Kluyveromyces lactis: one gene and its partners. The protein of the gene in region 7 binds, or shares a complex with, the protein of the main gene of each other region. Links are inferred from orthologs where the notes say so. Each region holds a gene or a part of one and is shown on either strand. Other genes may lie near its edges.

What was found.
Region 1: PTA1 (region 7) and PAP1 share a complex: the UniProt entries of both Saccharomyces cerevisiae proteins name them as parts of the cleavage and polyadenylation factor (CPF) complex. The link is inferred for Kluyveromyces lactis from reciprocal best matches to the Saccharomyces cerevisiae genes PTA1 and PAP1.
Region 2: PTA1 (region 7) and CFT2 share a complex: the UniProt entries of both Saccharomyces cerevisiae proteins name them as parts of the cleavage and polyadenylation factor (CPF) complex. The link is inferred for Kluyveromyces lactis from reciprocal best matches to the Saccharomyces cerevisiae genes PTA1 and CFT2.
Region 3: PTA1 (region 7) and YSH1 share a complex: the UniProt entries of both Saccharomyces cerevisiae proteins name them as parts of the cleavage and polyadenylation factor (CPF) complex. The link is inferred for Kluyveromyces lactis from reciprocal best matches to the Saccharomyces cerevisiae genes PTA1 and YSH1.
Region 4: PTA1 (region 7) and FIP1 share a complex: the UniProt entries of both Saccharomyces cerevisiae proteins name them as parts of the cleavage and polyadenylation factor (CPF) complex. The link is inferred for Kluyveromyces lactis from reciprocal best matches to the Saccharomyces cerevisiae genes PTA1 and FIP1.
Region 5: PTA1 (region 7) and YTH1 share a complex: the UniProt entries of both Saccharomyces cerevisiae proteins name them as parts of the cleavage and polyadenylation factor (CPF) complex. The link is inferred for Kluyveromyces lactis from reciprocal best matches to the Saccharomyces cerevisiae genes PTA1 and YTH1.
Region 6: PTA1 (region 7) and PTI1 share a complex: the UniProt entries of both Saccharomyces cerevisiae proteins name them as parts of the APT complex. The link is inferred for Kluyveromyces lactis from reciprocal best matches to the Saccharomyces cerevisiae genes PTA1 and PTI1.

What each region holds. Positions count from the first base shown.
Region 1 is NC_006038.1:1,161,458-1,165,808, reverse strand, and holds PAP1 (polynucleotide adenylyltransferase PAP1), read left to right. Parts: upstream 1-1,870; coding exon 1,871-3,667; downstream 3,668-4,351. Other genes in the region: dynamin-like GTPase VPS1, read right to left, coding at 1-66. UniProt on the Saccharomyces cerevisiae protein: Polymerase component of the cleavage and polyadenylation factor (CPF) complex, which plays a key role in polyadenylation-dependent pre-mRNA 3'-end formation and cooperates with cleavage factors including the CFIA complex and NAB4/CFIB.
Region 2 is NC_006041.1:1,062,404-1,067,164, reverse strand, and holds CFT2 (cleavage polyadenylation factor subunit CFT2), read left to right. Parts: upstream 1-1,630; coding exon 1,631-4,069; downstream 4,070-4,761. Other genes in the region: KLLA0_E12035g (uncharacterized protein), read right to left, coding at 1-994. UniProt on the Saccharomyces cerevisiae protein: RNA-binding component of the cleavage and polyadenylation factor (CPF) complex, which plays a key role in polyadenylation-dependent pre-mRNA 3'-end formation and cooperates with cleavage factors including the CFIA complex and NAB4/CFIB.
Region 3 is NC_006039.1:418,731-423,325, forward strand, and holds YSH1 (cleavage polyadenylation factor subunit YSH1), read right to left. Parts: upstream 3,156-4,595; coding exon 861-3,155; downstream 1-860. Other genes in the region: DBP9 (ATP-dependent DNA/RNA helicase), read right to left, coding at 1-271; KLLA0_C04620g (uncharacterized protein), read right to left, coding at 3,975-4,595. UniProt on the Saccharomyces cerevisiae protein: Component of the cleavage and polyadenylation factor (CPF) complex, which plays a key role in polyadenylation-dependent pre-mRNA 3'-end formation and cooperates with cleavage factors including the CFIA complex and NAB4/CFIB. Has endonuclease activity.
Region 4 is NC_006041.1:534,031-537,521, reverse strand, and holds FIP1 (cleavage polyadenylation factor subunit FIP1), read right to left. Parts: upstream 1,768-3,491; coding exon 880-1,767; downstream 1-879. Other genes in the region: BUD4 (Bud4p), read left to right, coding at 1-666; transcription factor IME1, read right to left, coding at 2,665-3,300. UniProt on the Saccharomyces cerevisiae protein: Polymerase-regulating component of the cleavage and polyadenylation factor (CPF) complex, which plays a key role in polyadenylation-dependent pre-mRNA 3'-end formation and cooperates with cleavage factors including the CFIA complex and NAB4/CFIB.
Region 5 is NC_006042.1:760,425-763,410, forward strand, and holds YTH1 (cleavage polyadenylation factor RNA-binding subunit YTH1), read left to right. Parts: upstream 1-1,540; coding exon 1,541-2,173; downstream 2,174-2,986. Other genes in the region: protein phosphatase 2A regulatory subunit RTS1, read left to right, coding at 1-216; FUN14 (Fun14p), read left to right, coding at 818-1,324. UniProt on the Saccharomyces cerevisiae protein: RNA-binding component of the cleavage and polyadenylation factor (CPF) complex, which plays a key role in polyadenylation-dependent pre-mRNA 3'-end formation and cooperates with cleavage factors including the CFIA complex and NAB4/CFIB.
Region 6 is NC_006042.1:1,903,823-1,907,632, reverse strand, and holds PTI1 (cleavage polyadenylation factor subunit PTI1), read right to left. Parts: upstream 2,157-3,810; coding exon 912-2,156; downstream 1-911. Other genes in the region: KLLA0_F20504g (sphinganine kinase LCB4), read left to right, coding at 3,204-3,810. UniProt on the Saccharomyces cerevisiae protein: Component of the cleavage and polyadenylation factor (CPF) complex, which plays a key role in polyadenylation-dependent pre-mRNA 3'-end formation and cooperates with cleavage factors including the CFIA complex and NAB4/CFIB.
Region 7 is NC_006037.1:330,326-335,091, reverse strand, and holds PTA1 (RNA-processing protein PTA1), read left to right. Parts: upstream 1-1,578; coding exon 1,579-4,053; downstream 4,054-4,766. Other genes in the region: SNX3 (Snx3p), read right to left, coding at 1-264; HAP5 (Hap5p), read left to right, coding at 557-1,027. UniProt on the Saccharomyces cerevisiae protein: Essential in pre-tRNA processing. Component of the cleavage and polyadenylation factor (CPF) complex, which plays a key role in polyadenylation-dependent pre-mRNA 3'-end formation and cooperates with cleavage factors including the CFIA complex and NAB4/CFIB.

The DNA of each region.
Region 1 (4,351 bases), on a different chromosome or scaffold from region 7:
ACCGCCGCCTAATGGAGCCAAAGCATCCTGTAACTTATTGATCGTAGCAATCAAACGTTCATCCATGTTGCCAGTTTATTTACTCACAGTATTGGGCTTGATCTCAATTACAATTACAAATTGAGAATTCAAAATATATCTCTGACCTAACCGATTAACTTTGGATGTAGTAAAGGTATATATAAAAATAAATCTCTCTAGATATTTGGAATATCTCTCTCGAGTTGACTAGAATTGATTTTGATTTGATGTTTTTCTTGTTTTTCCCCTTTTTCGCCACCAAAAGTTAGAAAAAACCAAGTATTACCCGGAAATGGTTAGATCTGCCAATCTAACTGGATCCAGATCGTATCCAATAGATAGCACAGTCAGTGAGCCTATTTAGCCAGTAGCCTCTTATTCAAATTAACGGGGAGAAGAGTTTCCAAACGAACTACAAGGGCCCATATAAAGGCCGACTTTCACTGTCAATGGGATAGTTTTCTTGTTTTTTTCGGATGCCGTTACAGATCTACACACGAAATACAAAGGTTTTGTAATCATCAAATATCTTGATTCTTCCATATCTGGATTTTCGTTTATATATATGCATATACTTCCAATTGAATTATTGTTGGATAAGATTTACAGGAAATTGAACATACAATTTGCAAATTCAAGCTCGCTCATTCTTATGATTGGGGTCTTTCACGTAATTATTGATTTTTCCTGGGTCTTGAAATCGATTTTGAATTTTTCTGGCTTTAAAAATTTAGTACAAAATGAAATAATATAACAAAGTGTGAACTTTTGAACTTACTATACCTTTTATTTGGTTTGAGTGTGTGAACAGGAGAAGCTAAAGTTAAAACCAACACTACATATCCCTTTGGTCCAAACTTGCCAGTACCTTCAAATTGAACTTCTTAATTCTTTCATTCGCTGGACACTCCTGAGACAGAATTGGTAAAGGAAAGAAATAAAGGGAAACGGAATTCTCAGACAATACAATATTAACTGGCTGATTTTTTTGTCTACACACATATACACACAGTCTCTCTCTATCTGAATATAACTGGATAGTTTGTGCTAGTTACGTTTTTAGTTCAAATTAGTGACGAGCACATCTTTTGATATTGGTCACCTGTTACCAACAACAACAACAACAAAAGAAGTTAGTGTCAGACTCACAAATACTGAAAAAAGCCTTTGCATTGGAACTTTGGTGTATTAACTCTCGGAGATTATACACATCCGACACTTATTTGATTATCCTCATCACGAATTAACTTGTGAGGAGTACTTTTGACGGTTCTTTCTGATCTAGGAAGACGTAGCAAGTCAAAACTCATTCAGGTTGTCGACTTCAGTACAAGACGCACAGGTTTTCAAGGACACTTACGATAATTCAAGGACGGTGATTGGCGACCAGTTGAATTCAATAAGCTCGGATCTTGCAGGGCTCAAGGTTTCCGGTTGTGATATCACTTCTGAGGTAGTACTAGGTGCAGTAGGGCTAATAGAAGAAGAAGAGGAAGGGGGAAAAAGTTCAGAATCTGATAGTGTAGGATCATCTCCCTCCAGACAAAGAAACCGGCATTTAAATCTCAATACAAGCCGAAACACATATCAGCATCATTTGCAACATCACCACCATTATAATCAAAGACAGCAGCATCAGCAACAATATTTCAATCAGCCAGGGCTACATTACGTTTATTATTCACCGGCTAACTCACCAACATCGTCTCCAATCTCAAAGAAGTTTCAGAACTACATTCCAAGAAGACAATCCGCGGACAGCCTTTTAAATACCGGGGGAAGTGATTATCTGGATAGAGCAAGGAATAGAAATATACCAGATTACAGAAACAAATATTATCCCAATACAATGTCCCAGAAAAAGATCTTTGGTGTAACGGGCCCGATTTCCACGGAGGGTCCCACTGCTGCCGAAAACGCATTAAACGATTCATTAATTCAACAGCTTAAGAAAGAAGGCTCTTTCGAAACGGAGGAAGAAACTGGGAAGAGAGTGGCAGTATTAGAAATCTTCCAAAAATTGACACAAGAGTTTGTATATCAGGTTTCAAAGAAGAAAAACATGTCCGATGGTATGGCTCGTGATGCTGGTGGTAAAGTATTTACCTTTGGTTCTTATAGATTAGGGGTCCATGGTCCAGGTTCCGATATTGATACGTTGATTGTGGTACCTAAACATGTATCCAGAGAAGATTTCTTTACCGTATTCGATGCTCTGTTGAGGGAAAGACCAGAACTTGAAGAAATTGCGTCAGTTCCAGATGCTTTCGTCCCAATTATCAAGATCAAATTCAATGGAATCTCCATCGATTTAATCTTTGCTAAACTAGATTTACCCCAGGTTCCAATAAGTTTAACTTTAAGTGATAAGAATTTGTTAAGGAACGTTGATGAAAAGGATCTAAGAGCGTTGAACGGTACCAGAGTCACCGATGAAATTTTAGAATTAGTGCCTAATAAAACATCTTTCAAGATTGCATTAAGAGCTATTAAGATATGGGCAAAGAGAAGAGCAGTATATGCAAACGTCTTTGGGTTCCCCGGTGGTGTCGCATGGGCGATGTTTGTGGTAAGAATCTGCCAATTGTACCCTAATGCATGCAGTGCGGTAATAATATCAAAATTCTTTCAGATTTTATCACGTTGGAAATGGCCACAACCTGTCCTATTGAAGCCAATCGAAGATGGTCCTTTACAGGTCCGCGTGTGGAACCCCAAAATATATGCACAGGATAGATCCCACAAGATGCCTGTGATTACACCAGCGTACCCTTCAATGTGTGCTACCCACAACATCAGTGAGTCAACTAAGAAAGTGATCTTATCTGAATTACAAAGAGGTGTAGAGGTCACACAAAAGATTTTCTCTAATGAACTATCATGGGAAGATTTGTTCAAGAAACACGATTTCTTCTTCAAGTATAAATTCTACCTAACGGTTATGGTCTCAACAAAGGGTTCCGACGAACAACACTTGAAATGGAGTGGATTCGTTGAAAGTAAGCTCAGATTGTTGGTCCAAAAACTAGAAGTTTTACCAGGAATCAATCTGGCGCATCCATTTATTGAACCATACGAGTCCAGCTATATATACAATAATGAGGATGAATATAAAGAGATCATGAACAACTACGGTACACATAAGACAGAAGGTGTATTGAAAAAGTTTACAAAAATAACTGATGCAAACAAAGACGATGAAGCCTCCAAAAACTCTAATCAAGTTCACATAGCCACGATGTTTATTGGACTTGACATCAACACAGAAGAGAGTAAAAAAATTGATATACACATTCCATGTCAAGAATTTTTCAATTTGTGTCGCTCATTACCCGACTATGAGGACCCTGAAACGTATTCTTTAATCATCAAGTATGTGAAAGTGCATGACTTACCGGATGAAGTCTACCAAGAGGGGGAAACACGTCCTGTGAAATCCAGCAAGAAGAGGAAACCGGAGAAAAGTGGTGAAAAGAGTAAAAGACCTAAATCCGATCCGTCCAATGGCAAGTCTACTACTACTACCAGTGGCAACACCAATTCTTCTTCCCCAGTAAATGACGCTAATTCCACTCCATCATCAAATGTCCCAGCAAACAGTAATACCAATGCTATCACCGAAGACCCAATGACTGCGACAACATAGAAAGTCTTACGATCCGTTCATACTACCTCTTCAGGGTTCGCATAATGCATCATGGCCAAGGCAACGTGAGTCTCCCCTCAAGCCTTAGCCCCAGTCATTAACAAAAGTTTCTCTACATTGAACGCGACACATAAACTCAACTTTCCCACTAGATAAACTAAGTAAAAAAAAAAAAACGTCTCATATCACAGAAAAGAACAGATCATTACTATAATAGTGAAGCTGTCCGCCACATACCCCATTGTTTTGCATAAACCTACCATCTCTAATCTGAATATTTTTGTTCTATCATCAAATATGTTTAACTGGTACTTATTTTTAGTCAGCTATGTGCCTTATCTTGATACATAATTGACAGATGCGGACAAAAAGAGTCAAAGGAAAACCACAAGAGATAGAAGGTTAGCCAGTTAGACACTGATAAAATCCGAGAAAACAAGACGTTACCGATACCCGAACAGTATCATCTGGTTCAGCCGCTGTTGATTCAACAGGCAAGTTCCTATTTCAAGTTTAACTTACAAATACACCCATAGTGATGAAAGAAAGCCACACTTTTCAGTAAAAGAAAGAAGCAACGTGACAGAAAGAGATCGAGTAATGGGAGTGAAGGAAAAGAAACAAGAAGTTGAAATTTGAAGGTAACTTAGGTAACAAGTGTCTTGTGAAGGGTTTTTATCTGTC
Region 2 (4,761 bases), on a different chromosome or scaffold from region 7:
TATTCACTGGACACCTGTAAGACCTTAGGTTCCCAAAAGCACAATCGATGAACTTGACGTTACCCCAGACACTGTTACTAAATTCGACACATAGGGATCGAATGTTGCGGCATTTGATGTTCTTGAAATTGGCTTCTGAACACATTGGGGATGCCCTGATTGTCAAAGATTCTCTCACGAAGGATCCATCAACAAGATCCCTTTCAGTGTTACTATTGTAACTGACGAGAGTTAAATGGTCGCATGGTGGTAATACAACTCTCTTTCCTGGTGGCACTTGGAATTTTTCAATCGTTTTAAGCAGGGGACAGTATTGTAGATCATCGACTATTGTAGTGTTATCCTCACATTGCAATTGATTCACTGTCATAATCCTAGGTGCAATCACTTTCTTACCCCTTCTTATGTTCAAAGTGAACAGCGTTTCCACGTCATGTAAATAAGTAGTCTCAAATATCGTGTCGATATCAAACATGTCAACTTCCTGGTGATTAATATCTCGGTTGGCGAATATATGTAATTCACATAATCGTAGTTGGCTTTGACAATGGCTTAGCTCTCTGAAATAGAACTTGGAAAGGAAATTGGTAGTCGTCTTATACATGAAGCATAGATTCTTTAGAGTACCCATCCCACTTAGCCCTCTACTTAATTCACATAATGCCGTCGCCAATGGGTCACTGTAGCAGCGATCGGATACGATGACAATGAGAACGTTGTCAAACTTCCGTAGAAATTCGCTCAACACAGGAAACTTGAACGTATCTGTATTTACGCAAGCGGTGTTTCTCTCATCAGATAACAACTCATAATTGCAAGGATCTGCTAAGGTTTTTGATGATTCCCTATCCAAATCCCAAATCTTCAATACACCAAGCTTGCGCTTTATAATTGTTCTAAAATGTGAACCAACCTTACTCCATGCTAACAGACTCTCTAGACTGTCTAGTCCGCTAGTTACTACACGATCAATAATTTCGATCGGAAGACTCATTACTTTTGTACCCTTAAATCTTCTTCTCCTCCTTCTTATCATTAGCAAATCTGTCAAAAGTGTCAACTAATGCAGCTTATCTTGCACGTTGTAAACTAGGTCCTTATAATTCAACTGATTTCAAGTACGCTGGTATATCCAAGATGCCTTTAGACTTCTTCCAGTGTTTGGGTCAGTTGAGCAATCTGTTCCGTAATCTGTCGCTTTATTCTTTAATATGCTGACTCAACCTCAAAGAACGTTCGGAATACATTTTGACACTTAAAGTACCGATAAAATTGTGGATTTTGTTGCCTATAATTGTAAGCAATGAAATATGTTTGATATTCCACCTACTGGACCGTACCAACCTACAGATTGCAGCAGTATCTCGTCCAATAACAACTTCCCTGTCTCAGTTTGGCCTCTTAATCCTTCTTACTGACATTATATCTCATTACCCGGACATAACATGTCAAAATGATACTCAAGGCATCAACATTAAGTTCATTTAAACAGTACATGCAAATAATTGAAGAATGAAGGATAAAGGAAGAAGAAGAAGAGATTGCCGGCACTGAGGACACCTTTTCCTTTCCCATTCCAACCAGTGGATTCTCATTGTTTTTCAAATATAGAAGTAACTGTGCTCTCAAGATGACATACACCATCGAAACATGTAGGGATGAGAAGAAGCGGTTTGAGGGAACCATTGTACGATTCAACAATGTAATAGTATTATTGGACCCAGGATGGAACGGTGAAGGCAGTTATGAAGAATGTGAAGAGTTTTGGACGCAGTACATATCTGAAGTTGACATTGTTCTGATTTCCCAGCCCACAATTGAATGCCTTGGGTCCTATGCCATGATGTTTAAACAGTTTTTGCCTCATTTTAGGTCGAGAATTCAAGTTTATGGGACGTTACCTGTATCAAATCTAGGCAGAGTCAACAGTGTTGACCTTTTAACTTCAGTTGGGATATTAGGACCGTTTTCTAATGCCGTCATGGACCTAGAAGATATTGAAAGCTCCTTTGACTTGATTGAAACGGTGAAATACTCTCAAACGGTGGATTTAAAGAATAAATTCGATGGGCTCTCATTAGAAGCACATAACTCAGGGTATGCTCCCGGTGGTACCATTTGGACGATAATCACTTCATCAGAAAAAATATTGTATGCGCCTCGTTGGAACCATACAAGAGATACTATCTTGAATAGTGCGGACCTATTAGACAATACTGGAAATCCAACCAGTTCCATGATGCATCCGACTTCTGTAATAACCAACCTTTCTATTATAGGCTCAGCTGAACCTCAGAGGAAAAGAGTAGAACATTTCACTGATACCATGAAAAGAGCTATACAAATGAATAACTCTTTACTGGTACCAGTTGAAGTAGGAGGGAAACTATTGGAAGTACTAGTCCTAGTTAACAATTTCTTATATGAAAATATGAGGGGTGGATTGAAGTATGATATTCCGGTGTTTCTAATATCTTATTCAAGGGGCCGTTCTCTCACATATGCTAAATCTATGTTAGAATGGTTGTCCTCGCAAGTAATCAAGACCTGGGAATCTCGAGACAATCGGTCTCCATTCGATGTTGTATCTAGATTGAGGATTATTACTCCTGAGGAATTGGGAGGTTACACTGGGCAAAAGATCTGTCTTGTTTCCGAAGTTGATGATATTTTGTCACAAACGATAAACAAACTTTGCTCTAAAGATAAAGTAACGATCATATTGACAGAGAGACATCCAAATACCCCAGCACAACATCCCTTACGAAAACTTAATGATAAATGGCAACAAGCAATAAAGAATGGGAGTAGAAGTGCATTGGATGGCAACCCCATTAGCATATCTGATTCGATGTCACTTCGAATCATGAAGAGAACAATTTTAAACAAGAAGGATGCGGAGAAGGTGAGAGAAATGATTAAAACTAGAAATGAGGTAAGAGAGAAAATTATCGAAGAATATACGGCTAAGACCAATGACAAAGCTCAAACAAAAACAATACTTTTTGATGTTGATGATGAGAGTAGCGACGAAGAAGGTGTGGATTCAATGGATGCAAGAGGCAAGAATGGATCGGGAAACGTTAAAGTGGAGATTCCCGTAGATATTACTTCCAATGATAGTGTTTCCACAAATGAAAAGCACCTTATGTTCCCATTCCATCCAGCAAAGCTTAAATCTGACGATTACGGTGATGTGGTCAACTTAAAGAGATTCTTACCACAGGAAGAATCATATGACCAAGCACAATCTTTAAAGCAATCTTATAGTAATAACGATTATGATGAAGACGATGACGATGATACATATGAGGTACTTGATTCGCGGATTAATAAATCAAAGAAAAGAAAAACAGATCATAATCCTAGGAAACAAGAAAATAATGATGATATTTCTTACTTGGACCCATTGAAAAGTGACATTTATAAACGAGCAATTGTGGAAACAAAAGTTAACATTCGTTGTTCTTTGGTATATATCGACTTGACAAGCATAGTTAATGCGCGGTCGATAGCAATCATCTGGCCTGCAATCAAACCAAGAAAAGTCATTGTGCTGCCATCAGCTGCTCCTGTTGATAACCAAGTCGTGGTTAATCTAACAAAGAGAAATATTGACATATTGGTGACTGAGTTCAATAATTCGGTTGAGATGGATACATCTGTCAAGGCAATTGATATTTCTATCGATCCATCGCTCGACCAACTTCTAAACTGGCAAAGAATCAGTAAATCTTTCACTGTGGCACACGTTGTTGGTAAACTATTGACAGAAACTGACCCAAAAGCCCCACATCGGGAGAAGGTTATATTGAAACCGTTAAGCAACCCGTTAGCTTTACATTCTGGAAGTTCTCTAAGAATCGGAGATGTTAGACTACCGGAATTGAAAAGAAGACTAACTGCGGAAAATCATAAAGCTGAGTTCCAAGGTGAAGGTACACTAGTGATTGATGGCAAAGTTTTGGTTCGGAAGATTAATGATGCCGAAACCATAGTTGATGGTTCACCATCGGACGTATTTTACAAGGTCAAATCGGCAGTGTCAGACATGCTAGCCAACGTTTAAATTGTTCGCGGAAGCTTTCTATAAACGTGACATCGACTTAGATATTAATTAATTATAGTAATTTAGCATTGTAGTAAAGCATTTATAGATCAGTTGTAGAGCTGACCAATGGGGTATGTATGTCGGGATTCAAACATCTATTCTAGGTCTGGCATTCTTTATCTGGGGGGGTTAGAGGGCAAAAAATATACTCCGCGACGGGGAATTGAACCCCGATCTCGCACGCGACAAGCGCGAATTCTAACCATTAAACTATCGCGGATCTGTACTTGAGAAATAGAAAAACTTTGCACTACAGGTTCGCTCAACGGTTGCAGAACACTGATTTCGTTGGAACTAGTCATAATGCATGACCGGGTGATACCAATATAATAGGCGGTTAATGATAGTTTTGTGTCACTGACACATAGCAAAGTATATAAACCAGTACTCAGATCTAATCTACTAATTAGTAGGGATCAGATCTACAGACACCAGGTGCATCTAATTCTACTAGGAGATAGATAGCTAATCAAGATGAATTCTTCTAATAAAGATCTGACAAGATCTAAGCCACGTGACATGTACAGTCATATACCACAACAGGTAGCCCGAATATGAAACTCAGAAAATCCCGATATTCCACAAATACGACTCCGTGGCCAAGCTGGTTAAGGCGTGCGACTGTTAATCGCAAGATCGAGAGTTCAATC
Region 3 (4,595 bases), on a different chromosome or scaffold from region 7:
CACCTTCATCATTCTGATCTGCCTTCTTATGATCTAAAATTGTTTGAATCACTGGTATCAAATATGCTAAAGTTTTACCAGAGCCGGTACTAGCTTTCGCTATGATATCCCTTTTCTCTTGAAGAGCTAATGGTATCGCACTGGATTGGATCAAAGTAGGGTGTTTGAAGCCGATACTGCGGATGGCTTGTGATAAACGTGAATCCAAGTGGAACGAATCGAAAGAAGAAGAATCATCAATGTATCCCTGGGAAGCGCTTGTTTGAGCCATATTGAAGCGTTTTTCTGGACTCTAGCTCTCGTCGAACACTTTAACTATAACCTCGGTTGTAAGTTTCGATCAAAAGGTTAATGCTGCTGATAGTTGAGACCCATTTAGCCTGTTTTACAGCTCTTGTACGTTCAGACTCTGGATGAGATGAGATGAGCTTCCCAAAAATTTTCTTGAGGTGCAAAAAGAAACTACACAGGCAAAAGGATTTATGAGTCACGTGATTGAGTTATCTTGTCTCTTCTGGATTGGCAATGTGAATGAAATACCTCACTGTAGCTCTGATTTTGCCATGGTATTGGTAGATTGATTTAAAATTTACTGTTATAATGAGAATATATATATATATATCGCGTTTAGTAGTTTAGTAAATGGTTTTTTGTCCTCTTGGTGTCTTTTGTAACTTGTCGAAAACGATATGTTCATTCAGTTAATTGAAACTTGAATGCATCTTTAAAGTTTTAATAGATTATTTAGTACAGAGGAACACCTTGGCAAGATGGCAGTATAGGGTTGAAAAGTATATAGTTAATGCAAAAAGATGATTAATGACTAGCTCATATATAATCATATCTATATATGAGACAGATTAACACAATGGGGCCACCAAGTCGGAGCCAATTTTTAATAAACTCTCTATTCTACCTTTCAATGGATTAGAGTTACATTCTTCCACAACCATTTTTGAGAAGTTTATACATGCTGTTGTTTTTCCTAAGTTGATAGTGCCTTTTATTTCTTCTTTGGAGTCTTCCTCATTCAAAAATAATGTAAAAGTATCACCAAACTGTTCCTTGAAAACTCTCGATATGTTCTTAATTTTAGTCGTGTGATCATCGTGTCCATGATGATGTCCACATGACTTCGAACTCATTTTGATACTTGCTGGAGCGCTCTCGACACTCAGTAGAATTGCCATGACACTATCCGCGACTGAATCACTGATAACATTCTGAGTCCATTGCAATGTAGCTACATTGTCAACTATATTTAATATTACATCTCCCATGATTTTTATTTCTAGTTCACCCTTCTTTATCTTCCTCGTCTTGAATTCGGGATTGATGTTCTTCAATGAGACGTTTTCTTCGTCAATGTATACATCTACGTCACCAAACATTTGGCAGATATGCCAATATACTAGTTCGCTTTTACAGTCCAAGTGGACTGTCTGTCTTTCTGTCAAAACTGTAGTAGATAATTGTTGATAATGTTCTCTTAAATCTGAAAGCGAAACTAAACTTAGATCAAAATTCTTCTCATCTGACACCAATATACCTGAAACTATTTTCTCATTTTCTTCTTTGACAATTTCCGTTTTACTTTCCTCTGTTTCTGGATCCTCTTCATGGATTTCCGTGATTCTTTTCTCATTCTTTAGTGCGTCTTCTTCAGTTATAAACTCATCGAGATCTTCAATAATTTTCCCAACTGCCCTGGCAACCTTAACATCCTTGAACTCAATATCAACAAAGACACAATTTCTAGGATTGAAAACATGAACCTCGTTTTCAGTATCCTTGAGAGAGCTGAAATTAGAAAGAAGGGCTGATTTTAAACGACCCATTGGGTTGGATTCGCCATGAACTAAAATGATGTTGCTAGCTCCAATTAGCTCGATAAATTCTAAATTTTCCCTAAAGTCAACATGAGCAGCGAATGTTATTTCATCCACTTGGCAACGTCTTGGGATAGTTATCTCAGGGTTGTGTACCGAGGGAATAGCCTCAGGTTCTAGTAACAAATATTTTGCCATTGTACCTTCTACAGAATAACCAGTGACAAGAACCAGATTTTTTTCTTCTGGACACCATTTTTCTAAAATGTCTCTAGATAGACCGTTTTGCAACATACCTGGGGATGCTAACATGACACTGGGACCAAAATCCTCGAATTCATCCAAATTCTTGAGGTAAGAAATATTCTTGAAGATGAATGGATTTGTTTGAGAATCTTTGAATTTTTTACGAATATCGTCATTCATCATATTAACATATGTCTGAAAGACACTCATACATTTCTTAGCAAGATTTGATGCGTAAAAGATAGGTACTTGCCCGTTTCCGAGTTCTTCTTTGTGATTCTGCCAATATTCGTCTAATATAAGCATGATTTCTTGAGCTCTTCCAAGGGCAAACACCGGTAAAAGAACACGTCCTCCCTTAGATACCACGGTATGTATTAACTGGGTCAACTTTCTTTCCCTGTTTTGTCTTGGTTCGTGAGTAGCGGTACCAAATGTACTTTCCACAATTATGACGTCCGAAGACTGAGGTGGTACCTCAGCAGAGTTAAGGTGACGGTCCACTTCTCTTGAATAATCACCAGTAAATAATACACGAACACCAGCGATTTCAATTTGAAACATCGCTGCTCCAAGAACATGACCTGCATGGAACGCTGTAAATTTAATACCATTTACCTCCATAGTGGAATGATAGTCAATAGTTTCTATCCTATCAAAGGACTCAGCCAAGTCCTCATCAGAGTATAAATTATCATTACTTGAATCCTGTCCTGGACTGTCTCCTATGCTGGTCACCTTGACGAAATCATTCAAAAGCCAACGATATATAGCTTTGGTCGGATGTGTCATGAATACTCTACCACGAAAATTCGTTCGTTGCATCACATAAGGCAATGATGCCGCGTGGTCAAGATGAAAATGTGAGATTAAAAGAAGATCGATTGTGGAGAGATCGAATTCATCGTAATAGGGCAATGAAGCTAAACCTTGATGGGCCGGATGGATACCTGCATCTAACATTAGAGTCTTGCCCTTATACTGAAGTATATGACACGATCTCCCCACTTCATTGGATCCTCCTAGTGAGAAAAAGCGAAGATGGTCCTTGTCTGGAACCTCATTTTCCAATTGAGTCATTTCTTGACAATGCAAAGGACAGACAAAATGCTCTCACAAACACGTCAAAAGTTACTGTCTGCTTGAGCCCCCCGATATCTGTTATGAGTGCCCGAATACCAACAGAGGTTGCTCGGTAACCATTGGACAGGACACTCTTCTTTATGTTGAATTGCTAAGATTTTCAATAAACGTTAACTGGTTTTAATGTCTTACAGAAAAAAGTGAGAAAAAAGTGAGAAACTAGGAAATAGCATATTGGTGTACAGAGGGAGTAGAGGTAGATATTGATAACGAAAAGTTAGTAAAGAGAGGGCTGAAGGCAACCTAAGATGATTTGAGAACACATCTTGATAACAAATGTCGTTACGTACTGTTTCTAGTGAGAATCTTGCTGCTTGTCGGGTTCTAACACCTATCTTAAACTGATTGTTTTCCCTTACTATGTAGATGTTGAAATAATAATATGTAGAATTTCTGATCGACAATATATCAGAATGAAACAAAGGGTAAAGGGAACAGGATAGGTCACGTGACTAGATTTATTTACTTGGATCAGGTCACATCTGGCTAAATTACTGCAAGTGTGTTGGTAAAATGGAATGAAACGAATTAAACTGCAGAATGTATGTAAACACAAATTTTTTTGCTAGATATATATTACAACTAAAAACGAGTGAATACTCTTTGAATTAAAAGGAAAGAGTAGAATGAAAACGAAATGTTGTGGAATGACGGAAACATAAGACATTAACACTTAGTATGAAAAATGGTTGTATTTTTTTCTTTAATTACGGGGAATATCCTCTGTAGAGGTGTTCAACGTTTGAATTGAAGGCTTCAAGTGAGGAATCCATAATCGTCGTTAACGGTCCAAAATTCTTCAACGGGAACTGACAACATAGCTTCCAATTGCTGTTGTTGTTGCTGTTGCGGTGGTCTTTGACCTTGCTGATTATCTGGTTGATTGAAGTTCATATTCATGTTGGTAAATGAAGAGTTTCTCCAATTCAGGGAGTTATTCAGAGTGCCAGGATTGTTGTCTCGATTGGGCATGACAAAAGTCTTTTGATCATTTGTTGTCGCTGATGATTGTAAAGATCCGTTTAGGTTGCCCATATTGTTGCCTCCATTCAGTGGATCTACGTAATGATTACTGTTCATCAAATCCAAAACCGAGTCGTTGGTCCATGTGGAGATGTTGTTGATCATCGTATGGGTACCATTATTGAAGATTATACCATTATCGTTCGGCCTGGGTGAAGGACCGACGGAGAATGATATTGGGTGCAACGGTGTGTTAGGAGACTTTACAAAGTTGGCTGGTTGCTTTTTTTGGAAAATGTCTGCATTTCCGTGTTGCCAGCCGGTTGGGGAAGACATGTCAGATGAAGTTACGGATGCTTTATTATCAGCACCACCACTAAACAGTGAAGGATGATTCTGAGTGATGGGATTTAA
Region 4 (3,491 bases), on a different chromosome or scaffold from region 7:
GTCAATAAAAATATGCTGAAACAAATCAAATACAAAACAAATGAGCTACACTTTGAATTCCTCAATGAATGGGAGCGCGAATTTGATGAGAAAATCGCACAAACATATAAAGAAGACGAATTATGGAAACTTCCTCGGAAAAATCCATCTAAGGTTTGCTCTCTTACAGTTGATGTGATGTATCTTCCAAGAACTTCGTCCATGGAAAGATTCCCAAAGAATCTGAAGGCAGTTCAGAAGTGTTGCGAGAAGTATCTTGAACAGCAAAGGGTCAATAATGAAGGATTCCTGTGGCAAGAAGGCGGTGATGTAGAGGGAATGTTGAAAAGAAGATATATGATTTTGAAAGGCACTGAACTTATAGCTCATGACGAAGTTACCAGAAAACCACAAACTTTGTTGAATCTTCTAAACGTAGTAGATATATACTCTGATGGTAAAACGGCAACTGGAAAACAAATGAGAAACTTTACTGATATGGTACTTTTCAGCGATTGCTTCAAACTCCTTTTTGCAAATGATGAAGTTATAAATTTTAACGCTGATTCTAATCTTTTAAAACAACAATGGGTTGAAATTTTGACCAGCGTTGTTGAACTGAATAAATTCCATCAACCATGGATCAAAAGAGTTTTTGAAAACGAACAATACAACATTACTTTTTAAACTGTTATAGTATTCAGATATATAGTTTGTCTTTGCCATTTTTTTTGAAGTATAGTATATTAATGTCATTTCTCTAATTATAACAAATGTCAACATGAGGTCTTTAAAACTAAGCTGTGTTACAATTCCATCAAGGAATCGAAAATACATGTACATGTCCGCTATATATCATTAATGTTGCTTGCAATCAATACGAGCCTCAAGCACTAAATTTCATTTCTTGTCGTTGAGATTATTATTGTTGTTGTTGTTAATGTTGTTCATGTTGTTCATGTTGTTCATGTTGTTCATGTTGTTCATGCTTGATACATTTTGATTTTGCATGTTATTCATCATACCCGGAAATGGAAATCCTGGGAAACCACCAAACATGGGGGGAAGTCCCATAGGCGGAGGAGGAGGTTGGATTGTATTCTGTACAGGTTGTCCTGAACCTGGATCATTTAACTTTCCTTGCTGCTGTAAAGCTAGGAGGTTCATCAAAATCTTTTGTGGGTTGTATTCTTTCGTCAAATGTTCTTGTCTATGTAAATATTCCATCCAAGTCTGTTCATTAAATCCATAATTGAAATAATCTGAAATATTCGCTCCTGGTTGTCTCCAGGGCTTCTCCTTTAGAATTTCTGGATCGATCTGTACTATAGGTTTCCCATCGAATTGTGCATCCGGGTTCAAATCAATAGTTTGTTGTTGCTGCTGCTGCTGTTCAGGTGGTATTGAACCCTCCTGTACAGGAACCACGTCCGATATACCAGCCACTGCTGCAATAGCATGATCCGCTGTACCAAGAGGCGTTGTGTCTGTTATAGCAGATATCTGGGACTTACCAGAATCTATCTTAGAGGTATCGTTACCAGTTCCGATGATAATCTCAACATCTGAATCTGAGTCACTGCTGTCATCCTCATCTGATGAACTATCCTGATTGGAGGCCTCACTCTCTACCTCATTCGTATTACCTTCCGGTACATCATGAGCTAGTATCTTGGGTGTTTCTTCGACCTTTTGTCTTTTCAATGCAGGACCCTCTTGCTTTGCGACTACGTTAGAATCCTCCTCATCGCTGTATAGAAACTTATCGTCTTCATCCTCACTGCTCATAACGATTCGTTTCTATATGTCGTTCGTGGACTGGTAGAAGATTTATCAATAAATGCTTGGAAAGTTTGGAAGGCTGCGCAACCCAAAAGGTATCTTAACAGGAAGATAGTTCTTCTTCTCATATAGAAATCAACTAATAGTTAACTCTCAATGCTAAGATTTACCAAAATGATGCTGTTAAATCGACGCATATCCGGGTAAATTATTGTCGTATTCAATGACAAACATTTCTAATGAATATCTGTCACCGGACAGCGGACAGCGACTCAGCTTGTTTGGACGGAATGTATAATATGGGTTAAATGTGTAGCTAATGAGAATACATGATTTACAGAAGAATTAGATGTGCATGTTGCGGACAGTATCGATTTCCGATGTTAACGAACTTGAAAGAATATGCGATGGTAAGAATTAAAGATATGGAAAAGTAACAAGGGAAACCAAAGAAAAAAGTGCATCTTATTGACGAAGCATAATACTTTGTCCTGTTTTTTCAGAGTAAAAGTGTGAATTAATTAAAAAAATTGACAGAAAACAACAGAGGAAACAAACATTACAGGCGAGTGAGTGTCTTTAATGTGTTGAAAAGAGTCAGACATTGTTGAGAATGAATGTTCAAAAAAGTCGATTGTAAACTGCAATTGAGAAGTGAATGTTCTTTTTTGAAGTGTTTATGGGACCTGTAAGGTTGACTAAACATGGTCACCTTGTGTCCGCACCCACAGAAACAAAGTAAAAAAAAAAATGGAAGGTAATTTGAAATGAAGTAGAGAATTAGAAAGGAATGAATGTAAGAAATATGATGAAGAAGGAAAAAAATATGCAGGTGTATCATACAGGCAGTCTATAGCAAAGGGGGAAAAATAATATCTGGATAAAAGGATGAGGATTGTTCCATCAAAAATACGTCTTGGAGAACTTGTAATCAATTTCTTGGAATCTAATCTTATCGAAATAATCCAAATCGTTAGAATCAGCCAAGAAATACCCAAAATAAGGTAGTAACTTGTTAGTTAGCGTGTAAACAAACTGATCCTTTTCCGAAACGACCGAATCTTTCTTTGAAGATGAAGAGGAGAACATGATGGGTGCCACCAATGCACGTTGCTGTTTTTTCTTCACTGGAGCCATGCACTGCAAGTCATTGTCCAAATCTTGCTCGTCTTCTTCCAGTAACACGTTGATACTTCTTGTAGAAGAGAAAACAGAACTGTGTCTTGTGTCAGCCAGTGAAGGTGGTGTAGAAGAAGAACAAATAATTCTCTGTTCATCTTCTTCTTCAAAACTCGTCTGTAAAAATTTCAAATTGTGAACGTGAATCAAATGGACAGGCTGAGTATGGATCATCGACGGCATATGGATGGACCTTGGCTGTAAATCGTGTCGACTGATAACATGCTTCTCATGAAAATCAAGGCTTACATCATCTTCGAGATCAGAAAGTGCCAATTCACCATGCCATTCCATGTTAACTCCACATTCTTGCAGGTCGTCCAGTTTCAAATAGCTAGAAATATCCAGCTCGCAGTGCATTGTATTGGGTAAAGTATATTAAGCTTCTATGGTAACCAGTTAGTATTTCACTATCAGTTTTTTTTTATGCACGGTAATGAGGCAACCGATAGAAAAAGAAAGACAGACAAGAATATGTCAAAAGCCTCAAAAACGATAGACCTATATATAAGCTTGGTAGATAGCATTCCACTTCAAACTGCATATACTAA
Region 5 (2,986 bases), on a different chromosome or scaffold from region 7:
CAAGCCATAAATTCCGGCTCATGGAATCGTGCCATTCATGCAATGGCTTTCAAAGCATTGAAAATTTTCCTTGAAACGAACAATGTCTTATACGAAAATTGCAACGCACTTTACATATCTAGTTTGAAAGAAAACAACAGACGTCAAAAAGAGAGGGAAATGAACTGGAAACAATTAGAGGATTACGTTTCGAAGTTGAAGATCGCAGAAAGTTGAAAAAAAGTGACCACTATCATCCTTACGGACTCACCATCACCAAATCATTATTATCGTCTTCATTATCATCATCATCACGGTAAAAGTTATGTATATACTTATATCTACGCGTCTTTTTCACCGAACATAGAATTGTTTCCGTATATATCAGTAAACGACAAATGATTTCCAACCCAAATAGGAGGCCTTAATTTACATATAAAATAGTAATAAAGGTACTACTTGACTGATAACTTGCCGCTTATCACTTTCTAACTGACAATTCTATATATTCTTTTTTATAATGACTGTCACCCAAATCCTATTCTTTTCAGCATGTTGGGTTTTGTATGATTCTTAAATTTCAACATCGGTTGAAAAAAAAGGGTCGCAGGCTCCATCGTCAGTATGGCTATATAAAGAAATATTGAGAAGTACGTGCAAATTGCTATTGAGTTAAGAAAACGACAATTCGTAGACAAAATCACTGTTTATAATTTAATCTTTCGATAACGAAGAAATTCGGTTAGAAATCAGTCTCATTTAGTTCAACTCAGAATTGTGTTTTATATCCTCGAGTGAAGACAGACCAATCGACATAATAGGTAAAGAATTAGGAAAGATGTTCAGAACAGCAGCAAGAAACCTTGGCGTGCCATTAAGAAGAAGTGTTTATGTTGGATTCAGCGGTAGTTTATTAGTCGGTGGTGGATCGTTGTTGCACTCGATGCAACCAAGCTCATATATCATGAACGATTCAATTGTTGATGTTAAGCAAAGAACGAATCTACCACAAGAGCTTGGATTGCCAAGCCGTGTTGATATAAGTTCGAAGCAAAGAAGAGTCAACTACAGACAAATGTGCTACGGGTCAATTTTAGGTCTAGTGTTCGGTGTTATCTTTGGTAAGATATCAAGTCTTCTCGTGTTCATCACCGGGGTTGGATTCGTTGGGTTACAATTCTTGCAGAACAGGGGAGTTATCAGCAGTGACAGCACTCGTTCTCTTTCCAAATACGTTGTGACCATCGGCCGTGAGAGGATTGATTTGAACACATTGATCTGGGACAAACCCAGCTTCAAAGTCTCATTCATCTTGACATTTGTGCTAGCTGCACTTAACGTCTGATTGGTTCCGAGAACGCTACCTTATTCAGTTCACGTGACTTTTTCTCATGTGAAAACCCAGAATATCCTATAACGTTATATTTAAGAATTAGTAAAATAATTATTGTGTGTAACTCGCTTGTAACATGATTAATTACCAATCATCAAAGACATTTTCATAAACGACTGGTAGGCTACATTAGACTGGGTTGTCAAGGAGATAAGGGAGTTTAAACTAATGAGTATAGTTCATCCAGATACCTCGAAGTACGAGTTTAATTTCGAGCCATTTCTACGGAAAGAATATTCGTTCTCGTTAGATCCAGATAGACCGGTATGCCAATACTATAATTCAAGAGAGGGGATAAAATCCTGTCCCAACGGAGCACGCTGTCCAAACAAGCATGTGCTACCGATATTTCAGAACAAGATTGTTTGTAAGCACTGGCTCCGAGGTCTCTGCAAGAAGAACGATCAATGTGAATATTTACACGAGTATAACCTAAGAAAGATGCCCGAGTGTGTATTCTTCACCAAGAACGGGTACTGTACACAATCACCGGAGTGTCAATACTTGCACGTAGATCACAAGAGTCAGTTAGAAGAATGTGAGGATTATAATATGGGGTTCTGTCCATCGGGACCTGCATGCACGAAGAAACATGTCAAAAAGGTACTTTGCCCCAGATACTTGGTAGGGTTTTGTCCACTGGGTAAAGATTGCGACTGGTCGCATCCCAAATTCAAAGTACCTTCAGAACACAGCAAACTGCGCATCAAGAAAGACGAGCATATTAATACAAGAAAGATGGATGAGGAAAGGGAAAGACGCTTGAATGCCATTATCAACGGTGACATCCTAGTCACGTGACTGAATTTTTTCAGTTTTCATCAGTGCGTTCGTTCTCAGCCACTGCTGCTGTCACTATTCACTATTCAGCTCACCATACGTAATTCGATACAGATACAGATACTAAGTAACATAATACTACACAATGTTACAGCCGGATAATTCTATCAACCGACAGCAAAAGCAACACACCTGAAAAATTAAGGGAACCAAGGCTCACATACCTTAAATTGCTTATCCAATAGGTATCAGACCTCTCAGCCAAAATCATTCGCTGAGTTTCATTTATGGACACGCGGTCGACATATTCCCCAGTATAGAACACTCCATTCCACAGTTTCTTTCGGTTTCTTTTTTTTCTTGCAATACTGATAAGCATTAACCCTGAGAGCGGACGCATGAATGTACACCAGGCAACAGCGTGAGTTCTTGAAGTCAGTTTTCTAATACACCTATAACTGGCACTAGCCAGCTACTGGGATGGCAGTCTCGCATCACAGCAAGGCTGTCGACCGGTACCTCTTCGTCACTTCGTCTCTCCTCTGCTGCTGTCTATGAACCAGCGAGGTTTTGCTCAAAATGGAAAATGAAATTTTCGACGAAAACAAACAGAAATAAAAAAAAGGGAAAAGGGTAAAAAGGAAAATTAATGGAAGCAAGGTTTTTCCAAAGCAACTTCCGGCCACTTTTAGGAGAATTGCCATTGCATTTGGTAATTTATTTGTATATATATATAACACTTCTATATTTAAAAGTAAGGTTACTATTGTGATAATAACACGCAAGCTATTAATATTGAACATACGCTCAGTTATATAGAGTTCATTTGATCGA
Region 6 (3,810 bases), on a different chromosome or scaffold from region 7:
TCCTAATTCAAATGATTACTCTGTGCTTGTGGACTGGGTGTAAACTAAAAACACAATTACAAACAACATGTAAATTATAGAAACTGGTTCCTCTAGTTCAGAGAGAACAATCTACCCATGGATTTATATACGATTTTTTTTCCCATGATTCATGTGCACCTCATCTGTATAGTCCCGCGCTCCCTTTAAGAATCGCCTTGCTTTAATTTCATAAGCACTTTTTTTTCATTGATCTCTAAGCTCAATAAGCACAGTGTTTTACGCTGTAGTAATTATCCGCGCGCCATTCAAAAAATTAAGAGCAGCGAATAGGTATTTTAACGAATAGGTCGGTGAAACTGCGACGGAAACCTCTTCTGCCCTCTCTTCCTCCTTCCCTCCTTTCCTCCTTCCTTCCTTATCAGCTCAGATCGGCACTGATGATACCTGATATAACATACTGAAAACAGAAACGGATTACTGCAAGAGAGGACTTGACAAGTTTTTCTTTTTACACACGCACATAAACAAATATCTATCTAATCTCTCCAAAGGATCCTGACACAAAGTGCTCCGTGTTGCTGTGGAGGGCGGCAGCTACCGCCAAAACATTCGAATAGTAGCCCAATCGTTTCGGCATTTCTTTCCCTTTGCGCTTTCCTTAGACATTTCCCTCGACGTTCGTTTCCCTTCATTTCGCCGCATGCATTTGACATCTTCCTGTTTTGAAATGTCGGTTATTTCAGCTTTTTCCATTTTCAGTTTCCTGTATGAGCCAAGTCGTTAAAGAGGAAAACTTGCGCGCGGAACTTTTAGGTTGGGAAACACGGTGGTATACACTATAGATAGAAAGAAAGCCTTCGAGCCATTATGGATGACTAAGAGATAGGAATTGTGCTATGTATTTTTCTTGTTATTGCTATTATTATTATCTATAGAAGGTAGTCGTTTTTGAGTTGCTGTATTAGTTGTTGCTGGCCTGGTGGAAGAGCCATTATGTTCGTTATGGGCATCGAAAGCGCAGTTCTGATCATGTTCTGTTGATCTTGCGGCAGTAGCGAAAGTTTTGCCTCGTTGAACTGCTGTGGGGTGTTGGCAGCGTTGGTTGTAGCGGTGGTGGTAATATCACCACCAGTACCGTTACCACCGCTGTTAATGCCTTGAGCCGTCTGGGGTACAGACGGCTCAGGTAGTTGAACTGGCGGCAGAGTTGGTACTGTAGGCGCGGCTGCGGCAGGCGTGGGTCCAACAGAATGTTGGCCCTGCATTTGGCCTAGAACATTTGATATCACGTGATAGTTTATCAACCCCATTTCTAGCATTGCCTGAGTGACAGCTACCGTTAAGTCAATGTTAGTCTTCAAGAATTGTTCCAGTTGTGGCTTCTTGTTATGCTGGTTGGCTAAGATCTTCAAGTTTGATAGAATCTCGATCATTTGTAACGTAGGAATCTTCGATAGATTTTGAGATACCACATCCGGTGCAGTCATCGAGCCCGGTTGGTATGCTGGTAGATGCTTTGATGCCCGTGCTAAGATCTCTGGGATCTCTATCTGCTGTGCCGGTGCCTCGTTCGCCTTCGAGGCAAGGTTATCCGAGGCAGCATTCGTAGATGCAGTGTTATTCTCCGAGGATAGTGTGCTTCCTGCGTCACTTGTTATTGGTTGCACCACCGGCAACGGCTTTCTTGGTAAAGGTACCTCACTTACCATTTCAAACGGTAGTTCTAATTTGTAATCCCAGGGAAAATTGTCTCTTGTGAACTCTAACGGTTTCAGTTGGTCTATTTTCTCTAACTTTTCTTTCCAATCTTTGGGAATCACCATGGACATCCTACATGGGAAATGGTTTATCTTATTTATTGAATTTTGGGCCCTATTGGCGGAGGAAGAGTCCCTGAAATCTACATCTACCCATTCAAGACATCCTCTTTCACTTCCAGCTCCAGCTCCAGCTCCAGTTCCTTTTCCCCCTTCTCGTTCTCCTGCTTCTTCGACCTCATCCACGTATTTCTCTCTAACGTCAACTATATATCCAGAACCAGTTATCACAGATGTGAAGTTATCCTTGTTCCACTGAGCAGGTATGTCAGTAAAACGTATGGTAGATGAAAGATTGTGCGGGGTCAGTTCATGCCTGCTTTTCCTAGTACGAGGATCCTTCTGTGGGTCATGCATACTTTGACTGTGTTTAGTTAGAAACCAACTTAAGAGTATTTCACCGTTTCGATATATATATGTATTCTCTAAATTGCAAACTTGTTATCGCAAATATCTGACTGGTGTCTAGTAACTAGTATTATTTTGCCTCACAATGAATCGTTACGAACATACATAATTACATATTCATTCTTTCTAGTCGACAGCAGATTTCTTAATTCATTAGTATGGCCGTTAGTCTTTAACGATGCTTAGAATCTTTTTAAGTTAACATTCATATAAGAACAATATCCGGGTAATAATTGATTATATATCACGTGCCAACTGATGTTTCTTTTGTTTTGTATTTCTTAGATTTACATGAAATCGAAAATCAGGAAGCCTTCGAAGTTAAAACGTAAAGATATGATTGATGAATAAGAAACTGTTCTGTCCACATCCAATATCAGCCAGAGTATTGTTAATCAAGCCTCTACTATTTAAGAAAATTGTTCTAAGGATCTACTCTCGTGGTTTGTTATCTAGACAAGAAGACAGTCTGATAAAAAAAGCATTGCGCATCGGTTCTTATATAAGCATCGTGAACCTAGGAAATTTGTTTAGAGAATTTGTCTGTGAGAATTCTAGTTTAACTGGTGGATAGTACTATACTTTATTATCATTTCCAAGAAACGTTTCCATTTATCATATTTATGACAACGATTTGGTGTTCTCCGTTTTCAAGTTAGATATATCAAATTAAATCGAACTGAACTGAAAGGAACAGTAATATATCCGTCATCCCGAAAACATACCCCCTGTGATTTATTAGCTAGGTATTGATAAGAGGATTCATCAGAGAATAACAGAAGACATAGTCATTGATCTTGTTTGACTGTATCTCAATTTTGAATCAGTCTCTTTTTTTTTGATTTTGTTTTGCGTTATTTTCACGTAAAGGTGGAAAAGAGGTAGTTAATTATTCTTGTTGAGTTGCCAAAACTGTTGTGGTCCAAACAGAGATCAGAGTCTGATTCAGATATTTCCCTTCATCTGAGAAAAAGGAAACAGAGGGCTGCAAGAATAATGAGTAAGCTGAGCAGGAAGTATCATTTGCCCTATACAAGAGCCATCATTGGCGAAAATGGTTTATTGATTAAAGATCAATTTACGTCCGGTCCTTCAACAAGCTCATCGACGCTTTTGGCACGCAGAAGTAATGGAGGTGATTTCGGCGATGACGAGGATGACGAAGACGGCGATGCTTCTGGGAGCTTCCAATCTAGTGTTTTTGAAACAGCTTCGTTAATCAGTTGTGTTACTTGTCTCAGCGACACGGAATCTAAAGATGAGAATGAAGCTCTGCTGCTACCTTCAAATACGGTTATTCCTTACGCAAAGATTCTTGATGTCACGAATATGGAAGCAGAAGATGATGGTTCCCCATGGCCGGATCATACTGCATTGATTGAAGTCACTTTTGCAAAGCCAAGGAGGAACCATTTAGTCCCAAAAACAATAAAATTGAGCGTCGATACTTCAGTGTTTCCTAATATGGGAACTGATGTGGCAGAAGAGATCTTGAATAGAAGTTATAAAAACACTAAGAGAAACAAATCAATTCTAGTCATTATCAACCCACACGGTGGTAAGGGTAAAGCCAATAAATTGTTCTTGTCCAAAGCCAAACCAA
Region 7 (4,766 bases):
TTCAAAATCACTGTACCGCCTTCGAACGGAACTCGATCTTTTAGAAAAGCCAGGAAGATTCGTCCTGCATATAATTTCATAATCTGTATACATTCCCTTAGCATCGCCACTAGGGAAATGAGTCTTTGGGTTGCAAACCTCTATCTCTAGAAAGTTTTCTGGCTCATCATAAATTGTTGCACCGGATAATTGCTTGTGAGTTGTATGTGAAAGTGTAGACTCTGCAGTTGTAGTAAATGATTGGAACTGTCTTTGGGGGCACATATTACCGAATCCATATAATCGTGGACCTTGCCCGATTAGGTTTTTCAAGGTATTATTCACTCTTTACCCACCTTCGTTACTTTGCAGGAATTGGTTGAGGTACCCTTCATAAATGGTCTTTTTTATAATGAAAAGCCATAGATATTATTTTCACAATCATATCCTTAAAACGATTTCAGGAAACCGCATAATATGCTAAGAGTGGATCTGTATTGAAATCGTACCCTGTTCTTAGCAGCACAGATCCACATGAAATCTAACTGATATTGTCGATGACACTTACCTCGAAACCATGGATCAACCGGCAGCTAATAATCAAGAGAACGTAACAAACGAACAAGGACCTCTCATGGATCTCGAAGAAGATGAAGAGATCGACGTATTCCATAATGTCGGCCAGGGACTTGCTGGCAGATACAGAGAAATTATGATACAGTATTGGCAGGAACTTATTAATGAGATAGAATCCACGAATGAGCCAGGTTCACAATTCCAAGACGACTTCAAATCGCATTCGTTACCACTAGCAAGGATTAAGAAAGTGATGAAAACTGACGAAGAAGTTAGAATGATTAGTGGAGAGGCTCCAATTCTATTTGCAAAAGCCTGCGAAATCTTCATCACAGAACTCACAATGAGAGCATGGTGTGTTGCAGAGGAAAATAAGCGACGTACGTTGCAGAAGCAAGACATTGCGGATGCATTACAAAAGTCCGATATGTTCGATTTCCTGATTGACATAGTACCCAGAAACGTTCAATGATCAAACCGCCAAATCATTAGCGTATAAAGTGAAATGAGAGAAATCAACACAATGCCCCACTTACATATTTCAACCGATTAGGCAGTTGACCTCTGAAAAATGCGACATCGGTGAGCTATGACATTATTTAGTTGTTTCTAGCAATATAGCATTATTAACTCACAAATTGTGAATTTCATGATCAGTAATATACAGTTCAATCGAAGTAAATGTTACAAATGTCATGTCAATTACTGTCTGAAATCCATAAATATTCTCGGGCAGGTTTGTACCATCTGTAGCTTTTTCTCTTTCACAGTCTCTCTTCTCTATAAGCACGAACATGAAATTGAAAAAAAAATTAAACACTAAGTTCAGATTTCGTTTTGACTATAAGAAACCACAAGTGACTGAAGAGCGCAGAAACAGCAAGAGCAAGTCAGACATAGCATCAAGCGTGGTTGATACTATAAACCGTGTGTTAAACTTTAAACAAAGCACCTCAACAGTCAGTACTTTTTTGTTTTGTTCCAGTGAGTTTTCAATCATCTGTTTGCTGAGTATAGAAAACTATGTCAACTTCTGTAGACCCTTTAGTCCAGTTGCAACAGGCAGCTGCGATGGCAATGCAGCATATGCCGGAACAAATGCTTCCTAAGGTTTTGGAGACCGGTATCACATTGTTTTTAAATGATAAGCGGAATTTAGGGTTCTCGAGATTTTCTACCCAGTTATTATTGGATATATTGGTTCATGATAAGATTCCATCAAGTGAAAAACCATTCATTGTATGTCAAAACATCACTGCGCTTTGGGAAATGGCTGAAACAAGAGATTATGTCACTTACAAAAACTGTATACTATGTCTTGGTAATATTTATGACCGATTATTTGATTTAGTAGCAAAGACTTCTGATGATAAACTTTGGTCGGTAATGTTAAAGTTTAAAGAACTTATCATTGCCAACTGGAAGACCTGCTATCCTTTGGATTTGTCTGACAATGATCTAAATAACCATTCAAGAGGAACGGGGGTAAAATTAGCAAGTGTGAAGCTCATTTCGAAAATCATTATTGTGCACACCTCAGGACCCGGAATTAGCGTGGGAAGTATACCAGAAAATCATCCTGTGATATCTAATAAGCAAGCGTTGGAGGCTGAAGCCAAATATTTGTTAGATAAATTGTTAACTTTTTTAATTGAGGAACCAATGATGTGTGCACCATGGTTCACAGGTGCTCTTCATAGTCTTTCTTTTATTATGAAGCAGAGACCATTGGCCACAATTCGAATCGCATCCGCTTTACTGAAATTCAACATTGACATGAAATTCCAAAGAGATGATGAACCCACTTTACAATACAGACTTGCAAAGCGATTTGTGGAACGTTGTTACAGAAATTTAGTTCAGTTCGGAATTAAAAGTCAACTACTCAAAAACAGTGGATCCATGACACAGTATAGAAACAAACTAGCTAAAATTTCACAGACTCTATTCGTTATTGGCGAAGAGACCAAAGCTAAAGGTATTCTAAATTATGATCCGGCTGCGATTGAACATAAAATGACTCCAGCTGATAAAAAAAAATACACTAGAGTGAAGGAAGTTAACGACTCTTCTTCAGATTCTTCATCAGGAACATTTTCAGCGACAACGAAATCTCCGTCTCCTATTCAAATGCCACCGATTGTTTCGCCAATGATAGGAAATACAATGATGAATACGGCATCTACTCCACCGTTACTGAATAATTTTCAACCTCAGATACATGCCCCCGTAAAGAACATACCTGCTCCTCCACCCCCACCGCCTGATCTTTCTGTATTGCAATCCCTTCAGAGTTATGCTTTCACTAAATCCACGACAAAGCATCCACATTTTTTGAATCCTGCTCATACCTCTGTCGATAACTCATATTCTGCCGTTTTTGCCTTAATGAACCCCGTCACCTCCGGATTCGATGTCTCGAAGTTGTCTCAAGATACCATGGTTAAAATATGTACTGAGGCTTTAAGTAACACAAACACAGGTACTGCCATTAATGGACTATCCATAGTTGCGTCCAGGTACACCGATTTGATAAACAAGTGGTTACAAAACAATGCTCAACAACAGAGCGCAACTATCTCCAACGATAGTAGTCCAGTCCCATTCAACAACAGTAGCCAAAGTCAAGCTAGTAAACGTCCCAGAGAAGAGAATTCTGCAGCTTTGCCAATAAAGCAAGAAGTTGCAATGAAAAACGAAGAACCTTTACAGCAGCCTGCGGACGATAGGTACGTAATTGATGATTCAGCTCCTATACAGCCACCAGAAAGCAAAAGGGCAAAGATCGAAAGAGTGGAAGATGCAGAACCATCAAGCAGTCATACAGTATCCTTGGGTGTTCCAACTTTAACTTATGATGAGAAGTTGACTCACTTGCAAAGAATTGTGCAGAATATATTACTGATACCAACTAAAACTGATGTGAGCACTCCAATGACACAATTACAAAGTACAAATCCATTGGACAAAGTTCTACTAATGAATTGGGACAATAAGACCTCCTGGGTATTCTTATTATCTAGACTCTGCTCTAGAGGAGTGTCATCGAATCAAGATGTGAGAGATATTGTCACCAACGCAATTTTTGACTACTTCTGTGAGGATTTCCAGAACAGAATCACGCTTGTACTTGAATGGCTAAGTGAAGAGTGGTACCATGAGGAATTGATTTCCGATGGTAAAGATCATACCATATATAATGAATGGTCAGTAAAGGTGCTAGATTTCATGATCCCCAAACTTGATGACTCCCACAGAAGATTGTTTATTCGAATGGTCAGTGAAATGCCGTTACTTACTCAAGAACACATCGAAAAGATGAAATCACTATGTTTAGATCCTACTAGATCGGTATTGGGGTTCCAGTCTTTGAAATTCATGTTGATGTTCAGACCTCCAGTGAAACCGTTCATCAAAGTTGCCCTCGAATCTATGGCTGAAGTAGACGAAAGTATCAAACCACAATGCGATTCACTATTGAACAAGTATTTTTCCTGAGTAAAGCTATTCTGAATCAATGTAAACCCTGATTTCTAAATTTATATATCTATATACTAGCCGTCGAAGATATTGCAATTTGGTTGCGTTCCAAAAGCAATATGTAAGGAGAAACTTACTACTTTCCTATCAAACCGTCAACGAATAAAAGAGAATCATAGCTCGCTAATGCCCAATAGGTTTGGCTGAAATTCCACCATGTATCAGTCACTTAATGAGAAATTTGAAGTTTTCAAAAATATAACCTTTTAGCCACATTATCGTTAAAACATATAGTTAACGCACGCACAGCACGATCTCATCTCGTTCTCGTTTCCCTTCGAAACAAAGGACACACACAGAGCTTCTTTGAGAAAAAGAAATGAACTAATGCCGTCTCGCTGAAATTTGAAAAAAAAAATAATTTCAACATCGCTTCTTCTTGAATATGTTTTCAGGAATCTAACTAAGTCAGAGGAAGTGAAAGTGATAAACAGAACGAACCAAGGCCCGAAAAGAGGTGTGCGTTTATTCATTGTGTTTAACATCTGTTGGATTAGTTAGACTGCTTCAGGAAGGTAGTCTTCTTTCATTGTGAAAATCTGCTGTCTCACAAAGATTTTTTAAGAACATTGTATTCTTTCCCATATTTCCTTTCAGATTTAGTGATACCTTTGTGCTAAGTTGTAACCAAAATTTCCCAGGAAGTAGAATTAACGACTATTTCATAGTCT